2 linked regions of the Drosophila melanogaster genome follow. The protein of the gene in region 2 interacts with the protein of the main gene of each other region in a pairwise test. Each region holds a gene or a part of one and is shown on either strand. Other genes may lie near its edges.

Region 1 (2,897 bases), on a different chromosome or scaffold from region 2:
CGTTCCTTCTGGATAAGCTCCTTCTTCATCTTCTAGCTCTTCCCCTACTGTGAGCCCCGCCTGCAGCGCCCAGCCAACTGGCAGCTGACTTGTTTACACAACACTTTGCATGTGTGTTTGTGTGTGCGGCCATTGCACATGTGTCCATGTCCATGTCCTGCAGGGGGAGTGGCAGGGGCGGTGGCGAAAGGATGGCAAAGTCAGCAAGCAAAGCTCTGGCGGCTTAATGGACGAAACGTGCTGTTGAATTAATTTCTGGCTTTATGCTCTCAATTTTTTCCTTCCGTTTTCCATTCAGCCGCCTTCGTTTTTTCTGCCAGCAGGCAGAAATATATGTACGTCTATGTATTGAATTTCAATTTTTAAGTACTTCAAACATTAAGCCCTACTAAAAACAAAATAAAGAACATTTTAAATAAAAAAAAAACCATTATAAAATTAAACGAAAATTCATAAACACTGACTGGCTTTTTACACAAAAATTAAATATATTAATAATTATGAAAACAATAATTTTTATTATAATCTACAATAGATTTGTGAGATACATTTTTGTTTGTTTGCTTACTCTGTATGAAAAATGTTCAATTTTGCTTGCTGTCTCAGCTCAAATGGGGCTGTGCATAAAGCCTACGAAATCGCGCAAGCTTATGCGACCATCGCCATCCATATCGACTGCTTGGCAGATATCCTTAATATCGTCATCGGTTACGACTTCGCCCAGGACGACCATAATGGCACGAACATCCTGGACGGTGACGTAGCCGTCGCGATCGCGGTCAATCATGTTAAAGGTCCGGCATAGACTTTTATCACTATCCACATTGGCCATTCGGGGCGCCATCATGCGTATAAATTTTTTCAAGTCCAGCCTCTCCTCGTCTCTCACAGCCACCGAATGGATGAGATCGTACAACTCTGCCTCAGTGATTTCGTAACCCACTGATATTAGAGCCAGTCGCACCTCGTTGGCTGATAATGTGCCATTCGAGTCCAGATCATACTTTTCAAAGGCATCCCTCAGTTCGTCGATATGCTCATTCGTCAGCTCATTGCCGGAAAAAGAAGGCATGGCACTAGCAAATAAAACCCTAAAGTAGTTCAGGAAAATCAGGAATACAAAAAAAAAAAGGAGAAATGGGGAAAAACCGATGTGTATGAAAACTGACAATCAACTCAACTCAACCGAACTCAAACTCTGTTCTCGATGGCTAATAAAACACTTAGGCAAGCAATTGTTGTTGTTGCGGTCACAAACTTTTCCGGAATAATAATGCATCATATACTCGTACAAGGGGCAATAAAGGGAAAAAATAAGGAAAGCAGAGATGCTGAAGCATGCAACGTTTGGAGAACCATCCATCAATTTGTCAATTCAGCGCTTGCCTTTGAGTGGCCGTCCATGGGACAGGAATGATGTTAGATGACGATGATGATGATGATGGGCAGTAGTTGTGCTGTGGAGTGCTGGCCATAAAAAATCAAGCGGGCATATAAATTGAAAGGATGCTCTTGTACTAGCTGAAAGGATTTTTTGTAATCCCTGTCCAGTTTCAAGTAATTATATTGAATAAATGCTATCATAGTTGGACTTTTAAATTTCAACCATACTGTGAAATATTTTTGAGAAAATCCTAATTAAGACTGCTGTAATTTCAGCAAATAAGAAAACATTTATTTAACCACACCTTCTGTCTAATGCTTCTACCTCCGCCTCCTCAAATCCCTACAATCGCAGGGGACGCGAAGCCACTGACTTGTCAGGGATTTCTAGGCTTAGAAATAAGTTTTCCGACAGCCCATTTGATTCATTCAACTTTGAGGCCTGCTCTTGTTGCGTTCATTCCCCCAAAGACTTTGAGCCGGATGATAAGCAAATGAAATGTTGTCGCCGTCCCACATGACGAATGATTAATGACACGAATGATACATTTCTCCCGGGGGCAAAAACCACGCGCCACGGCCAGTCAAAAGTTTAAACCCAACTTTAACCATGGCAGGCACTTTTTCACTCGGTGTCACGGTGCCTGGCTGCAAATTTCGCTAGTCAGAGCTTAGTGGGGGATACTGTTTGCAAAGTGACTGAGTCCGGAGTCTTCTTCTGCTACATTAGCCTACTTCCTCCGCTCCACAAGCAACAGCCCACTCAGGATTCCTCTGATGCTGCAACAACTTGTGCTTGTGTATTTGCTTAAGCCGAGCTCGCTTTCCTGTTTCCTTCCGCTGCCTTTCCACTTTTCCACATTCCCACCGCTTCCATGAAAAGGGGGTGGGGGCGCAATGGCGAAGGGGCGCTGGGGCGGGGTCTCAGGAAAATTGATTTTGAAATAGTTGGTCTGCCTTTTTAAATTTGATTGACGTTATTACATTACATAACATCGCACACTAAGAGGAAAGGCGAAGCAGCTGGCTTAAGTTATTCATCCATTTAGCCCCACTTAGGGGCGGGGGATGGTGGTGGTTGGCAGCTAGGGGCGGCGGGTGATTGTGACGGGCAACAACAAGTGGAAAACTGTCATTATATTTGAGTTATTGATGGTTTTTTTTTTTCAAAATCATTTTGCAACAATGTTGCTGCTACCCAACCGCACCGACACACTCACACACACACCAACACACTTTAGTCACACGCTGACAGGATCTACTCCCCCTCAACCGCCACCCCCTTACCCTTCCGCACACACACACACACACTGTTACATTTACGCTTAGTTAAACGCATGGCTGTGGCTTGTTAACGCCGACAAGCGCAAAAGTTTGCCGTTCGCCAAATGCTTGCGATAATCGACAAGCTCTCACATACTCAACCGAATGCACTCAAAAAAATGCGAGAGAATGCTGATGTAAGATGTCATAGCATTGATGTTCTTAGATTATATTGCAAAGTGTTGAAACTC
Region 2 (16,896 bases):
TATTAATTAATATGATTATATTCCTCTACCAGATGGATTTCTCTCTAATAAAATGATATGAATTCACAAATAACCCAAAGAACCCACACATGATGAGTACTTGCCCAATGACTCTGGGCAGGATGCCGTTGTCGGCAGCGTCGAACTGGCGCACTATGTGGGCCATTATGTTTCCGGAGTATTCCCTTAAGGCCCAGTGATCCTCCGAGTTCGGAGATGCGCACACTTGTTTGGCCAGCAGGCAGGATAGAACGGCTGGCAGGAGCAGGTGGAGCTGCAATTCAACAGATGCATTCTTCAGCTTATCCTATTCCTCTCAGAACCAAATACTTACATATTGCAATAGGCTGAAGCGCTGGTTTCCCAAAAGAGCTCGGACCATGCGCATAAGGTAAAGGAGCAGCGGCAGGTTCTGCTGGGCCACGTTGATAGCCACTGCGTCCGCAATGAACTTGGTCAACCTGGGCAGCAACTCCTCCAGCGAGGGATCAGTGGAGATGGCTTTGAGAGCAAGCACGCGCCGGGATTCCAAGTCGCCTACGCAGGCCTCGGTTACCAACTCGAAGAAGTTCTGCTGTTCCATGCTCAGCGGATAGCGCTTGCTGGGCTTTAGCAGCACCTGCTCCACCTTTAGCCACCCGGTGTGCATGGGAGGCGGCTCCAATGAAGTCTCCGGCACGGGTTCCGGCACAGATTCCTGCACGGATTCCGGGTAGGAAACGAGAAGTTCATCCTTTTTTTCGGCGGTTACAGCTTCGCGGACGGTTTTTAATACTTTTTGGGAAGGAGGCATTTTGCAATCGTCGCAATGGACCAGCCTAAAAAAGATGTCATAGCAGAGGTCGTCGTGCATTCGGACGGCATGCTGGATGTGAGACAGTTGCAATCGCCGATCCCGGATGCGCCGCATGTATTTTCCAGCCTCGTTTAGCAGATTTGTAATGTCTTCCTTAACATTGATGGATAGCCACTGTGCTACTCCGTCGTCCAGATGCAGACCAGTGCTGTGGAAGAATATCGCGGATAGAGAACGCGGCGACAAAGAATGTCTGCGAAAACTTTTGTCCTTGTCGGGCATTTCATTCTGAGACGTTTTCATTTTAGTTGCGTTTTTGTTTTCAAACTGCCACATTTTGGCACTAGTGATGCCACTGGTCGATAGGCGATGCACGACGCCGTTATCGGTCAGAAAGGGTCGTCACTCGATACCGATACCCGCCAATTGAATTTTCAAAAATATCAAGCGAGAGTTTCAAATGCGGCTTGTTTGATTTTTTTTTGAATGTCAGTTCAACATTGGCAAAGCTTGCCACAACCTATCCGAGGAGTAATACTGTTTCCAACAAAAACACTTCATAACCAATTATTTTAGCTTAGCCGGTTATTTAATTACAAAGTTAATTATATTATATATCATATATATCATCATCACATATATGTGGGTTGTATTACGTGGTCCACAATTTGGTAGCTAGGTTAATTAGGTTAATCATCATTGACGGTTGCACTCCGGATACACTTAAAAAACAATATATCCCTAATAGCACAGATTCACTTCCCATCATTGTTGATTTTGTACAAACTTACTTAATATAAAAATAAAACTGTTCATTTAATAAACCGCGTTTTTAGACTTTTTTGTGTAATGTGTGCCCTCTGGGAGAACTTCCCAGGTCGAGCTCCTTTCGACTACTGCCCTTTACAGCATTTCCACAACCGACTGAACCTGACTTTGACATAATTGTCAAGTGAAATTGTAGAAACCGCCTAGTACGAATGGGAATAGGAAAGTCCGTATCAGTTTCATACAGTTTGGTATATATATATATATATATATACATACTATACTATATTTGCGATTATTGTTTAAAATTTGTTTTGCACTGATTTAAAGTGTAATCTCCAATATTTATATCAATAATTTTACTCAAAATATTTCCCATGCTGTCGCATACGAGAGGTAACGCCTTAGTCGATTTTTAGATACCCGTTACTCAGCTAGTGCAAGTGCGAACCAAAATTTCATGTACTTTCTCTGGGATATCGATTGGGTATAAAATGAGACAAAATGTGTAAGAAGGGGCGTTGCCAAAATGCTTTTGGTATACCGATAGAAATGGGTAAGATAATCCATAAAACGGAAAAAAATAAAAATATTTTTCCAAAAAGTCGGCTTGTCAGCTTTTGGTAGTTTGTGGGCATAATAGTGGGCGTGGCAAAAGGTCAAATCTATAGAAATGTACATATATTGTATAATTAATATAAAACAAGAAGGAATGTTATAGTCGAGTTGCCCGACTATCTGATACCCGTTCCTTACCTAGTGTGAATGCGAACGTGAAATTCCATCATTATTCATCATTATAAAAATTGTTCAAAAGTGTGGGCGTGACTTGGTGTCTTTAGGGTGTTAGAGTGGGAGTGGCAAAAAGTTTTTTTCATATCGATAGAAATTTGAACGTCTAATAAAATTGAGAAAAATTTGCTTGAATGTGGCCGTAGCAGTTTTGGGCGGTTGAAGGGAGTTAGAGTGGGCGTGGCAAAAAATCTAGAGAAACTGTATTTTTGCTTAAAATTATTAACACATTTTTCAAAATTGTGGGCGTGACATTTTTGTGCGGTTTGTGGGCGTGCCAACATAGGTCAACAAACTTGCGCTGTGTCGATGTCTCTAGAATGCTGAATCTTAATCTTCTAGCTCTTATAGTTCCTAAGATCCCGTTCATACGGACAGACGGACATGACCAGATCGACTCGGCTATTGATCCTGATCAATAATATATATACTTTATATGGTCGAAAACGCTTCCTTCTGCCTGTTTTCTACTTTTCGAAGAATCTACTTATAGTCTACTTATTTACTCTACGAATAACGGGTATAAACGTAATTTTTTTAAAACATCCTGATTAAATAAATGGTAATGCTGTTCCTGAATGTTTTAGGGACACTTTTGGTGTTTTAGCACTTGATTAAATTGTGACTGATTAAATTATATTTTACGTTCCGGACATCTATAGTTCACTTGTTGGATCTCAATTTATAAATGTCTATGATGGTGAGCTGGTTTGATGAAACAAAGCCAGTCAACTATTTAAAACTTAACCATTCGAAGTATAAGTATTTAATTAATAATATTAAGCACGAATATTTAACAATTATCCTATTCTTCATCACTATTAAAACTAAATCTGTAAATCGGGGAAAAATTCTTAAAGGTGTAGTTAAAATTTATCTCACTACGGACATAAAAAAATTATGATTTCATTAATGTAATATGAAATGTTGAAGCTGCTTGGTAACTTTAAACAAAAAAACGAAAAGACAGCGTTTGTTCGGTAAACTTATATATTTGCACTCAACGTGAAAAAAAGCAATTTAATTTTGATTGATTGATTAACTAGTAAGCCAAAATTAGGTAGAGAAAAAACACGAGCAGCAGCACCGCAACGAGCGACCTTCCCACTCTGTGCAGTCAGGAGCGAAGATCCGTGAGAGGGACGTACATTACGCCCATGAGACGTGTCATCTCCACCTTCCCATTGGCGTCCTTGTCGTACTGTAAAAATGGTTATATTATTATATATTATTATATATTATTATGTATATTATTATATATTATTATGTATATTATTATATATTATTATGTATATTATGATATATATATATTATTATGTATATTATTATATATATATATTATTATGTATATTATTATATATATATATATTATTATTATTACATATACATATTATTCCAGCAGTTATACGAATCAGCATCTGCCCACCTGTTGCATGTACTGAGACCCGCCGTCGGGACCGACTGGAACTATCAGGCGTCCGCCGCTGGCCAGTTGGTTGATGAGTTCGGTGGGTGTGTCGGGAGCAGCTGCTCCTACATGGATTGCATTATACGGGGCGTTCGGGGGGTATCCCTTGCGGCCGTCACCCTCGACGATCAGCAACTGGCCGGAGTCCAGCATGCTACGGTCGTCGGTGTTTAAGTTGGCCTTGCTCCGCCGCACCAGCTCTGCCTGGTGCTCTATGCCCACGATTCGGGTGTCCGCATCAACGCCCTTAGCCTTGATGTAACGATAGAAGCAGGCTGTGAGGTAGCCAGATCCAGAGCCCACATCCAGTATACGTGCACCGGGCTTCAAGTGGTCGCGTAGATACTCCAAGGCGAAGGCATGCTGGGAAAGAAAAATGTATTAATCTCCAGTTTAAAAAGACACTTTACTTTCAGAAATTATAAGAATATGATGGGAAGAAGCTACGGGAGTGAAGAACTAGTCTTCAAATGATGAGCCATTGATATGTTTTTAGTGGATTAAAGAAAGCTACTTTTTTATGCTGCCTCCTAAAAGCATCTTGAGTGTGGGCATTGACTCCCACAGCAAACATGGCGAGCAAACTATTTGTTTTTCAATGTCCTGGCTAGGAGTTACCATGTGAGGAGCACTGATGGTGACACCTCCTCCAATGGGTTGCGGGGCGTCCATGTAGGGGTTGCGCGGAGAGTAGTGCTTGCGGTCGGTTTCCTTCATCGCCTGGGCCACCGCATCACTTGCAATGACGCCGTGATCTTGGGGATTCGGTTCTATTATTAACTCGGCCCATTAAACGGAGCGAATTCAAGGGCTCACCCTTCAGTTGGCGAATCAGGTCTTCATTATTGGCTCCCACGGATCGCCACGCCATGCTGAAGGCGCGGAAGAAGAAGCCCAGTTTACCAATCCGCACCACAAGATTCCCTTTTTCCACCGTCTTGTTGTTTTGTTTAGTTTGTTATAATATTGTACCAGAGGTGGCAGGCCAACGATAACACTGACAAGCAATCGACACATTCAAGCAGTACTCATACATCAACTGAGTTTTGGGTCGTATGTCCTGCATCTAATAAGTTTAACTCCTCTGTTGAATTTATATTGAAATAATATCTGTTGAATATATATAATATCGATAGTTGCATAACATTTTCAGTTCAATAAAAATATCACTGGTCGAACTTTAATAACTAAAAGTGAACATGCTGCTATGTACATGGATATGTAAAACATCTAAACCCGTGCTGTCACTGCTGTGCAGGTAATATTATATTAAAATTATATAAAATATATATACATATATTTTTTTAAACTTTTTTTTTTTAAGTTTAAATCATTTATTATTATGCATTAGGAATCGTTCAGTTCCTTCTGAACTTAACCTAATGTGTAGCTTAAAAGATATTATGGATTCTGTTCCTTAATTATAGTGTACACATATGTACCGTGGAGAGATTATTGTATTCTCTTCAGACGTCGGAGGGAAATAAGGTCGACAAGATCATTCGCCAACGTGTTCGGGTGGGCGCTAAGTCTGTCGGCATATCGGCTGCTGTGGAAGTTTATTTGGTCTCCCAATGGTATGGCTGCGTTTAAGCAATGAATTGCATTTAATCGTGGTCCCTGCCATATTCCTAATCCTTTCCCGAAAATCGTTAAAAAGATTATATATACTTAATTTTTGCTTGAGAGATATGGCGGCAATTTAAATTAAGCGCTTGATTTTAGTATGACCTTGTGCTTTATCGCCTGTCGATATGATAAAAGCGGTTTCTCTGGCAATCGAACCGTGCGATCCTGGCCCTATTTGTTATATGTAAACAGGATGTCCAATGTAGGGAAAATAAAGATAAGATCCATTGCGGATCTGCAGGCCACAGTACGAGTAAATGTAGAACCGGACCCAACGCCCACGATCGAGAACAGAACGCCGGACAAGAAAAGAGCGGGAAGAACTCGTGCGGCTTCCACGACAAAAAAGGTCCGACCAAAGACGGAAGCATGTCCAATCATAGCCAGCACTGCGTTCAAGCGTTCCAGCAAGAAGACTCCGCTGCCAGGACAAATGCGCATCGATAGCTTTTTTACAAGTGCCGTCAAGAACTACAAAGTCAAGTCAAGTTCCTCTTGCAGGAAGGTGGATCCTCCGTTGGACAAGCGAAAGGTATCTACCAAAGGGCGCAAGCGCCTCTTCGAGGAGTCTACAACAACCTCATCTGCCTTTACGGGCAAGCTGGATGCAAAGCCGTCAGAGAAGCGAGTGCAGCCTAGTCGCCGTGCGAAAGGCAAGGAGAACGCTAGCCTCTCCGAAGTGCACGTAATTGACCTGTGCTCCGAGGACGAGCAGACCATAAAAAGAAAGCCATCCGCGATAGCCTCTCCCTGTGAAAAAAGCAGCGATGTCCAAGCAACCAAGTTTAGAACTCCAGAGACTTCCATGCCAGAAGCCAAGCTAAGCAATTCCAGCCTAGACCTAGTGGAAATCTCCCCCGGTCCCAACAAATCCCCAACGAATAACTTTTACCGGTCATCGCCGGCTGCAATCACAAAGGAAAGCCCCCTGGGCAAAAACTCTAAAAAAGGAACTGTACGCAAACAAAGAAAACCAAAGCCTTGTCCGCCCTATAAAGTAGTGGAGGGTACATCCTTCTGCGTCGACGGCTTTCAGTTTGGGGAAATAGAGGGAGTCACACATTACTTTCTCACGCACTTTCATGCGGATCACTACATCGGCCTGACTAAAAAGTTCTGCCATCCCCTCTACGTGAGTCCTATTTCAGCGCGCTTGGTGCGAACGTTTATTAAACTCGATGAAACGCACATTCACGAAATTGATGTGGACCAGACCCTGGACGTAGATGGCGTCCAAGTAACCGCCTTAGAAGCTAACCAGTAAGAGCAGTCGCTTTTTTTTGGCAGCTTACCAAACTGCTATTTCTCACCTTTCAGCTGTCCTGGAGCACTCATGTTCTTCTTCAAACTGAGCTCTGGCGAATGCATACTGCACACCGGGGACTTCCGAGCTAGCGCGGACATGGAATCCCTACCAATCTTCTGGAACCATTCAAACATCGACCTGCTTTATCTGGACACAACGTATATGAACAAAAACTACGACTTCTGCCACCAAAGCGAGAGCGTTGACCGAGCGGTGGATCTGGTGCGCGCCTTCCTAGAGAAAAATGCAGCCAAACGAATCCTTATCGTCTGCGGCTCCTACGTGATAGGAAAGGAGAAGATATGGTTGGCCTTAGCGAAGGAGTTCACAATGAGGGTTTGGACGGAAAGCAATCGCAGCACTGCAGTAAGATGCCTGAATTGGCCGGATCTAGACTCCGTGCTAACAGAAGATCGCAGCGGAGCAAACTTGCACGTCATTGCAATGGGAAAAATCAGCTATCCGGTAAGTGTATTTCTAAAATATATCAATTTTTTAGTTAGCGATATTATTTTGTTTCAGAGCCTAGTCGATTACTTTACTGAATTCGAGGACCAATATGACATGTTGCTGGGCATAAGGCCCAGCGGTTGGGAAAAGAACTCAAAGCCTTCGTACGGCAAGCGAATTAGCACGATCGGCATTGAGTACTCAGAACACTCCAGCTACAAGGAGTTGGAGCGCTTTGTTCGCTTCCTCAAGCCAAAGCGAGTCATAAGCACCGTTCCCGTGGGCCGCGATCTCTATGTCACTGGAGAGGTGCCCATACGGTGGTACAAGTACGAAGGTCGGGCATCTATGCTGCGTACTGGGTTTCAGCCTTCGATATCCACTTTCCTAGCTACGCCGAAGCGAGCTTTTGCAAAATTCAGTGCAGATACTGAAATGTTCTTGAGCCCCGTGGATGAGAATGCTTCCAAAGGGAGTGAAGATAAGAAAGACGATGACCGGGAGTCCGTGGTGCCAACGAATCATGTAACTATTATATCCGACACTCCGGAAGAGTGTTTTCAAACTGATTCCAAGATACCAGTTAAAAACGAGCCTCTGGCACCGGACACGTCACCGAATTCTGAAATAGTTGCACAACTCAATGCGATGGAATCCGAAATTCCATATGTTGAAATAGACATTAAAAACGAAACTATCGCACCTGATGCAGTCCTCATACCTCGTGTCCCAACGGAAGATACATTTCAAAGTACGGATTGCAATGTTATTGGTGTCCAGAAAAGCCAGGCAGTCGTGGTTAGTAGACTGACATCCGATGCATCAGACGATTGGCTCCTGTAGTGATTAAATTTCGGATAAAAAAGTCCTTTGGATTTAAGTATGGCTGCTAGTAGTTTTAAGATATTTTGTTATGAAATAATAAGGTATATACATACTTATGTTCGAAAAGGGCTTTAGTTTCTGTTAAACTTTTATAATGTTTTAATATCTTTTATATAAGGCTTGCCTTTTAAATACTTTACATATGTATTTTGGTTGATATATATATATATTCCCACACTATTTAGTTGCGAACCGTACATAATGAAATAAATTGAGTTTTAGTTTGGAGGAAAGGAAACCATTAAATATGTGCTAATGCTAATAACAATGGGCGACCTTAACTCAAGTGCTAACGAATGTAAATGAGCTTTGTATTTTTCACCTATATGCATTATGATTTCATTCAAATAATAAAGAAATGTATAAACCACTTGAGCGAGTGCTTTAAAATGATCTCCTTCTGATTTCTGCATACTTTATGCGAAAACAATTGACTATACAAGCACTTGACAAACATAAGATATTTCCTAAATATGTAACCATGGTATGGGTAAGTCATCCCAGAAACTAGTAATACAAGTAATTAATTATTGAATATGACCATTTGAGTTTTTTGGCAAAAAATACATTTCTAGGCTCCGTGCTCCGTGATTACGATTTGGAAGTATACTAGACAACAACTAAGCGCATATACATGATGAAAAAGATGAGACTGTAGTAACCGGCTGCTCGATTTGATTTTTGGTGGGGTCGGCAGGGGCTGCTCCATGGTCATTTAGCTAAAAGTGAAGTAAGTGGCTAGTAAGTGACAATGCGACGAAGTACCAATGAATCGGCAACCTACCACCAAGAGAAGAAAGGGCTCTTATTTTGGAAGCGCTGCGTAAAAGAGAAGAAACGACTGCCACTTGATCTGAAATGTTAGAAACCATTATTGGCCTCCTATAATCCGGAGTCATGAAAGTATGATACTTACCGCTCGACAATCACCGCTGGCATCTGGACCAGTTGCACCGGCGACTTGCCATCCCTCAGTGCCTGTGTGAGATTTAGAATCTGGCCCCGCATCACCGACATCTGGCGCTCGAAGAGACGCTTGTCAAAGCCGCGATCCTGCTGGAAGAGGTACAACAACTCCGTGCAGATCTCCTCTACAAAGTTCATATCTGACAACTGCGGCAGCACCTGCTCCTTGATTTCTTCGCTAAACGGAATTTTCGCCTGTGGCAACCAGGCCCAATGGTAGGGATAAGCTCGCCAAGAGTCCGGATGCTTGAAGGGAAAAGCGAGACCATTGTCGATGGCAGCGATCCGAATGAAGGCCGAGTTCACCACATTCCAATCGGGTTCCGACGTAGGGGGGGATCTCGACGAGGGTTCATCTTCGCTGCTGGCCAAACTGCTGCTATCTTGCTGTGCACTTGTGGCTGCTCCACCCGCTAGGTGGTTCGAAGGGCGACCACCAGTAGTCGGTTTCGGGCTAGCCTGCGGCGGCTCGTTTAGGTCAACGATTTTTGAAGCCCCCAACGCATTGGGCAATTTGGGGGTCACAACTCCGTGCATAGTTCTGCCGCCAGTGCCTCCCACCTGGGTCGTGATCTTAGGGGCCACGTACTTGATCAGCCAGTTGTCGTTGCCACGGTCCGTGTTGCGTATGATATAATCGAGCACGACGAGGCGCTCGAACTGCAGTTGGAACGACTTCGCCACTGAAGGCGGCAAGGGTTCGCTTTCAAAGCGCCGCAGCCAATAGTCCGCATCCTTGTAACCCTCCACGAAGAGCTGAAAGGAGCCAGTCTGCAAGGAATTTTGACTTGGTTAATACCCAATCGGTTTGTTTTTGGAGACGAGTTCACCTTTAGAGGAAGGCTCATTCGGTTGAAGTGAGCCGACGGATAGTGCTCTTTAATGCGCTTCTTCAGCTTGGCCTTCTGTCGATCAATGCGTGCGTAGTTAAAGCTCTCGGCAACCAATCTGACCACTCGCGTCTTTGGAACCACATTCAGATTGAGTTTTCGATCAACCAAGCTGGCTCCTGATTCGGAGAGGTACCTAAGAAATATAAATACCATTTTAATATATATATCAACAAATGAAATAAGTTCCTCAATTGGCTTTTAATGAATGGTGACAACTTGTATTATCTTACCCCTGATTGGGAATCAAGCAAGCTCGGCCAAAACAACACGGGCAGCACAGCTTATGCATCCATTTCGTCCACTTCGGATTCAGTCTGCCATAGGGTTCCTCGTCCTTTGGCTTAAATACGGCCAGGCATTGCTAAGGGGGAGCATCATAAGAAATGGCATAATAAATACATAGAGCATAAGCGGGTAAACAATATACAATTCACTATTTTGAAACTGTTTCAGGAAAAAACCAAAAGTTTTGCAAAAGCCTTATATTTGCAGTACTTCCCCGATTACCCGATCTTATTTATCTATGCGCGGAAAAGTAAAAGATCGACGAAGTTAGGCCCAGAACTGGACGACCCAACTCCCACCTTATGCGCAAGAACGGCTAGAAGATCGTCACCCCGATTCCCTACTCACATGGGAGGCATCCTTGACAAAGTAGGAACCACTGCTACCCTGGTAAATGCGCTCGGGCAGCACACCATTCTCGATGGCCCCCTCCGCCTTCGCCACGATCTCCGAGAAAAGCGGGTCATCTATAAGAATCAAAGATTAAAATTAAAAATAGGCATTAGCACTAGGGCTTTAAATTACTAAAAAAGTTTGTGCGTAGAACGAAGATTCGCATGCCTCAAGCGACGGGTAAAAAACGGACTGTTCGTCATTTATTAAAATTGAACAAATTTGCTATATAATTATGGTTTTAATAATTTATAAACACACCAACGAAATAACGTGCCATCTGTTGGATAAAAATAATTACAGCAAACATGCACGAAAACGCTTATAAGACTGCGATGAAATTCAAGACCCCATCCTACACTTTACTTTATATCAAGGAATGGCATAGGACTGTTGACTACGCTAATCCTCTCCACGCTACCTATGAAATCAAAGTTGTCGTTGAAATCGCCCTGCAAGTCCTGGCAAATGGTAAACACTTGCGGTATGAAGTTTTCGCGACTGCTGCTCGACAAGCGCGACATGGAGGCACTGGTATATTAAGTGCGCCGGCAGTCGAGAGGTTTCGAGTCGGCTGGCAGTTGATAAAGGAGAACCAGGTCACAATTAGCATAGCCAAAGCGTTTCGATAAGGGCCAACCCCTTGCCACCACTTACAGAGGTTCCTCAGCGGGCAGTTGGCACAATTGCAGCGCGGAGCCGCGATTTGAACGGTTACTGTGTCTTTGGAGTCACGCGCCATCGACGGTGAGTTCACCAGAAAGGGCGGATCGCCCTCCTTGTCCGACTGCGACTCCAAGAAATCCTTCTCCAGCGGGCACTTGTGCTCGCAACAGATGCAGGCGTAGGCGGCGGAGGCGGAGGGCACCGAGGAGCTGCTCTCCAGCGCATCCTTGCTTGTCGTGGGCTGCTCATCGTCTCTTGGTTCGCTTGGCTCTTGGTACTTGGCTGCTATAGCGTTCGGCAACGGCACCTGGCTGAGAAACGACTTAATGTTGTTTTTCGGCATGGGGCTATGTCCAATTGGCGACAGTTGCCAAAGGAACAAGTTCCATTTTTGAAGTGCCTTCCTCGAAATTCTTTATATGCTTCCCGACTGACTTCGATTCCGAGCTACAGACGTCCACGGTGACATCCAAGTACACCAAGATTTATAACACACAATTTTGTGCTCAATTTCGAAAAAAAACTAATTCTTGTAAAAACCATAAAATTGTAAAAAATGCTTTGAAATGTGGGGCGATGACTATAGGATTAACATACAAAGGGCAAGCGAAATATGGCCATCTAGTGATATTCAGTACTGAGTAAAACGATTGCAAAAAGAACAGACAAACTATAAATCGCTTTCGGAAGTTATTTCGAAATGCAACGAAAACAAATCGGAGGGTATTACTCATCAGCGTATGTTCAAAGGCAGCAGAGCAGTGCGAATCACCTGAGTCACAAAGGTCAAAGATCTAGATGAGTACTCATTTGGCAGTGTATATCGCTCCCACAACACACTCTACATATATCTATAAAAGTTAGCTCAATTCCCTGCACAACGTACAAATTGACTAATATTTGAGTAAGCACTTCATGGACTAACCAATAGAAATGTGGTTATTCTTATGATTGCATTGATTCATATATGTATTATTTATCTTAGCAAGGGAATACAAAAGCAGTTTGTATTAGTTTTTAAATAAATCTAAATGTAAATAATTCTTTTGGAGGACGGAAATGCTTGGGTTGACCAGGGTGCTTTTGTTGACTTTAATTTAAATTTAAAACGTATAGCAGCTAGGAATCTAACCCTTATCATTCTATTTAAGAGTCTTTTTGGTTCATTTGGTCGGACATTTTGTCTAGTTTATATTCACGTTTAGTTTATATTCAAGTATGTAACAGAGGCGAAATAGCTAGTTTCCAGTTACAGATCCTCCCCGTATAAAAGAAATTAGATGAAGTTGAATGAATAACATCGAGGCCCTAAATAATCTGTTCTAAGCTTGCGCTGCTTGTGGAGATAGAACCACCATATGTAGCCGTAGAAGTGATAAGCACATCATGAGTAAAGCCACAAAGCAAACAAGGCAGCAATGTGGTCTGGGTGTGGTAGGAAATGCAACTTGTACGACTTCATTAGACCGCTGCGCACTCACCGCCAAATGTGTTCGATACAAACTCCACATGATCGTGCCCGCGTCCTAGTCCGCCCAAAAGCTCGCTGATGCGACTTCCGTGACTGGCATTGCCTCCCCCCAAGAGCGGCTGTGACTCCCGGTTGTCGCTGCCGGCGTCCGTGGACATGCCCTCGAAGTCGATTTCTGGCACCAGGCAGATGTCGTCGGCCTCGTCATGCGGATGACGGGCGAGAGCAGTGTGCGAAGTGGTTTTCAGCGGAGATGTCAATGCAGATGAGGCTACCTTCGCGGGTGCGATGTGACAAATAATCGGTGGCTGTTGGCTGCTGCTGTCGATGCTATCCTCAGCGCTACCTTTGAGTCTTTGGTTGCGCGGGTTTGAGCTTCTCTTCAGCAGCACAGCTTCTTCGCCATCTTCGTCGTCGATCTGGTCGTCGTAATGCATGACCAAGTTATCCAGTTGCGGTTTCTGAATAACAGCATCGCCGCCGGCACTCTCCTCGCCTGGCGGCAGCCCGTTGGTGTGGTTCCTCTCCTCTTGCGCCTCTTCCTCGTCATCCTCGTCGTCCACCGACAGTAGCATGGGTTCCCGCGCCTTTTTCCCTCTTCTCCTTGTCTTGCGTTTGCCCATGCCGACGGTGTTGATCTAAGGAAAAAGTCAGTTCATATTGCCATATGTATTGCAGAAGGTGAGGTTGAGAACGGAGTGCACTCACCTCAACTTTGGTGGTCAACTGGTTGCTTGTCGACTCGAAGCCATTTAAAAGCGGAGACAGTTGGTTTCTGGGCGGAGGTTGGTCCTTGGCAAAGTCCCCGATGAGATCCACCTCGTCCTCGAGCTGGAGCAGCGGGGGATCCGTCTGATCCCGAGCGCCGCTCATGTTCGCACTGAGCAGGGGGTGGCAGGCACGTGGGTGATTGGGCGTGGGTCAAGAGGGCTGGATGAGTGGGAGGTGCCGTTGCCCTCAATCCGCAGCTGACGGAACAACAAAGGCCCGCGCTGTGCTGCAGCTTCTTCTTGCGCTTCTATCCGCGACTTTTTGGGCGTCGCTTGGTTCTGTTATCTGCTCCTCCGCTTTTCCTCCGCTCGCATGTTCCTGCACAATATGCTTATATTATTCGGGCTGCAAGTTGATTACATTACTTGCTAATTGCTTCAATTTTGTGCTTCTATTTCGTTTGGCAATTTATTATCGATTTTTGGTTTAGAACCCCAGCTTCTGTCCCAGTTTTATTTCAGAAACGGATCTTGGGACGCGGAGGATCTCAAACACCATCGAGATAGGGACTCACCATGCACTCCGCAAATGTAACAAGTGAATTACGCGTTCGATTTAATTTTCGCTAAGAACACGAAGCGAAAAATGGTTGACAAATCAAACAGCTGACGAGTAGAATTCGCGGTACTGCCCACTTGCTGGTTCTGCACTCGCCGAGTGGCAGCCTCGCACATGAGAGCGCTGAGCGGAAATATTTAAAATTTAGGCGTACTAAAATATCAAGATAAGGTTTGTGGAAGTCTATATTGTATAAATTAGCTAAATAACAGTGCAAAAATCTTTGTTTCTAACTCTTAAAGGTTAGAAAAACGTGTGAAAGTAGAACTAAAGACAAGGGGAGCCAATTTATGGACTTCTTATTCTGTGAAAAACTAATTGGCTTACTAAAATAAGAAAAATTCTAAGCTCGATATAAATATGTAGTCCATTTTAATAATGTTTGTTATTTGATACTAAAGAAAAGGCATTTCTGGGCGTCATTTATAGGTTTTTTTAAACGAGGTGGGATCATACGTCAGATAATTATGAAATTGACGTTTCAGATAGATCAACAATAATTTCTCGCATATCTTCTTCATCGAGAGTCAGTGAGTGCTGTTTCAATAATGTTTTCAAATCTACTTTATTCTTAACATTGTATGGATTGTGTGCGCGCCATAAGTATCTAGCTAAGCAGGGCACTCCTTCGCAGCTTTGTGATCGAATCCAGCGCTTCTCCTAGCTGCCGCTGCAGATTAGTGCTCTCGGCGACCAGCTCTATGCAGTCCTTGAACTTGTTAACAGCATTGCGCAAGCTCATCGGTGGCAGTACCCTGGAAAAAGGAGTAAGTGAGTTATCACATTGACCCACATACACACAGGCTTTATCAGTGCTCACGAGAACCAATGCAGGGGCTCCACGAAGCCCTTGGACTTGTCAACCGCCTGTCGCTCGATGCAGACGCCATCCGTGGAGTCCACGACCCGGCAGAGGGCGTTAAACTCGGCACTGTTCTCCGTGGGAATCTGGGCCGTGGACACGCACTGGCTGCCTCCGTGCTGAAATCTAGTGCGGGCCAGGAGAATCGCCCCACTGGCGTTACATCGCTCCAAATTTATCCGACACTGGGTGTGCTCCTCAACGAGGTGGAACATGTCCAGGTACAAGTCATCCAGTAGCTGGCCCGCGGCCTCCTTTTCGCTTCTTTGAATGCTCATTGCGGGCTGAGGAATAACTTTATTTATATATTATTATTATTTCGGTCTGACGGAGATTTTTCAATCATATGATCGCACCAACAACCCTGACTTATCGCTGCTATGCGCCGAGTTGGCACTACCGTCGATAACAAATGTTATCGCCAGCCCTATTCTGATTTGCAAACTAACAACCGACTGATTTGAATCAAAACGAAAAGAAACGGCTGAAAAAAGTTTGGTTTTGTCGCGTGCATACGAGTTTTACGCAATGAATTGTAATTACTGCCGCAACAAACACGGTCATGCCCAATTAACAAGTAAACGGTCAAGCTGCACACTCTCGGGGAATCCGACTAACGAAAAGGGCAAACAGCTGTTGTTGTTTTCTTGCGCATTAGTTTTTGGAGAGGGGTGAGGTGAAAGGGGCTGGCTTCGCAGTTTGTTTTACGATGCTGTTGCGAGATTAGAGAAAGTTTATAAAAAGCCCTGCCATTAGCATTCAGCAGCATTAGCAATCGGGAAGCAGTCAAGTTGAAACCACGTCGGGATTAACGCCACCAGACTAACAACGAGTGGATGCCCCAAGTGCAAACAGTTCCAAAGTCAACTCAAATATACCCAAATCCCAGGAGATTGCATCGGATCGGGTGATAATGCCCGATAGTTGTACGGCGGACCTACGAAGTCGCCGCCGCGAAAATCCAATCGACCGCAACGGCAATATTGGCGGCACAGGCAAGGAGCAGGTGCTCGTCAGCTAGCCAATAGTGTTTTTGACGCCTGGCTTGTTAAATCCATCGCGTGTGCATATGGCATCGGCATCCTATACGATATAGCCGCTCACTATACCATATATATATGTGCACCACACACATCCATACCTATCTGGCCATACGTAACCGCGTTTGATGACAAACATTGACGAAAAGCGTGGCCAAGTGTGCACTGAAAGAAAAGCGAATGCTATGATTCCTTCTACGAACCCTATAAAAATATTTATCAACATTCTAGTTTTAGTGTGAGCAAATGCTGGCACAATCGCTAGGATGATTGGAAACATTTTTATCTCAATTTATACGTCTCGTATGGGGCCTTATTTTTTTCACTATTTGTATCTAATCGCGAAAATCGTAGGCTTGCCCATGCCACCGCTTCAGTAAGGGGGGGTTGCCTGCCTATTCCGGTATACTCTCTAAAAGCATTAGCTTTTTCATCAATAGACTTCCCAATCTGCGACTGATAAGCACATATGCACATGAAGTAAAAAAGTTAGATAGGCCTTCTTTTCAATCTATCCCACACCTGAAGTAGTTTACCCGTCCGCATACATAAGTGCAATCATTAATGACTCGTCGTTTGGTTATCTCTTCAATTATTTAGGCGACAAGCACCAGGCCTAAGCTGACAACCGAATATACCCAACGGACTAACGAAATGACTGCGAGCAAGGAAGGTCAAGAATCCAGGCGAACCCTCAGCGACAGTTCCGCAGAGGACGTCAGGAATACAGGATCGAGGACCAGGACCAACGACGACGAAATGTGGCGCAATGAACTTGCTATGAACACGGACAGCAGCTCCGTTCAGCCAGAAAAGCGAGAGGAACGAAGCCACAGAACAGGAAACTCTAATGCGAAGCTCAGCGATGCCGTAGATGTTGTTCTTCGCGTTCTCCTC

What was found.
Region 1: the proteins of CG14671 (region 2) and CG13526 interact in a two-hybrid assay, tested with the Drosophila melanogaster proteins (one large-scale study listed by BioGRID).

The regions. Positions count from the first base shown.
Region 1 is NT_033778.4:22,753,500-22,756,396, reverse strand, and holds CG13526 (uncharacterized protein), read right to left. Parts: upstream 1,179-2,897; 5' UTR 1,073-1,178; coding exon 608-1,072; 3' UTR 501-607; downstream 1-500.
Region 2 is NT_033777.3:5,549,489-5,566,384, forward strand, and holds CG14671 (uncharacterized protein), read right to left. Parts: upstream 15,328-16,896; 5' UTR 15,238-15,327; coding exon 14,918-15,237; intron 14,853-14,917; coding exon 14,705-14,852; 3' UTR 14,489-14,704; downstream 1-14,488. Other genes in the region: mia (meiosis I arrest), read right to left, coding at 105-274, 335-1,132; Pcmt (Protein-L-isoaspartate (D-aspartate) O-methyltransferase), read right to left, coding at 3,474-3,557, 3,783-4,187, 4,443-4,579, 4,641-4,695; Snm1, read left to right, coding at 5,647-6,713, 6,771-7,224, 7,282-8,052; Pi4KIIalpha (phosphatidylinositol 4-kinase II alpha), read right to left, coding at 8,810-8,813, 8,879-8,947, 9,011-9,831, 9,891-10,086, 10,184-10,314, 10,587-10,705, 12,779-13,406, 13,477-13,641; CG12746 (uncharacterized protein), read left to right, coding at 16,654-16,896.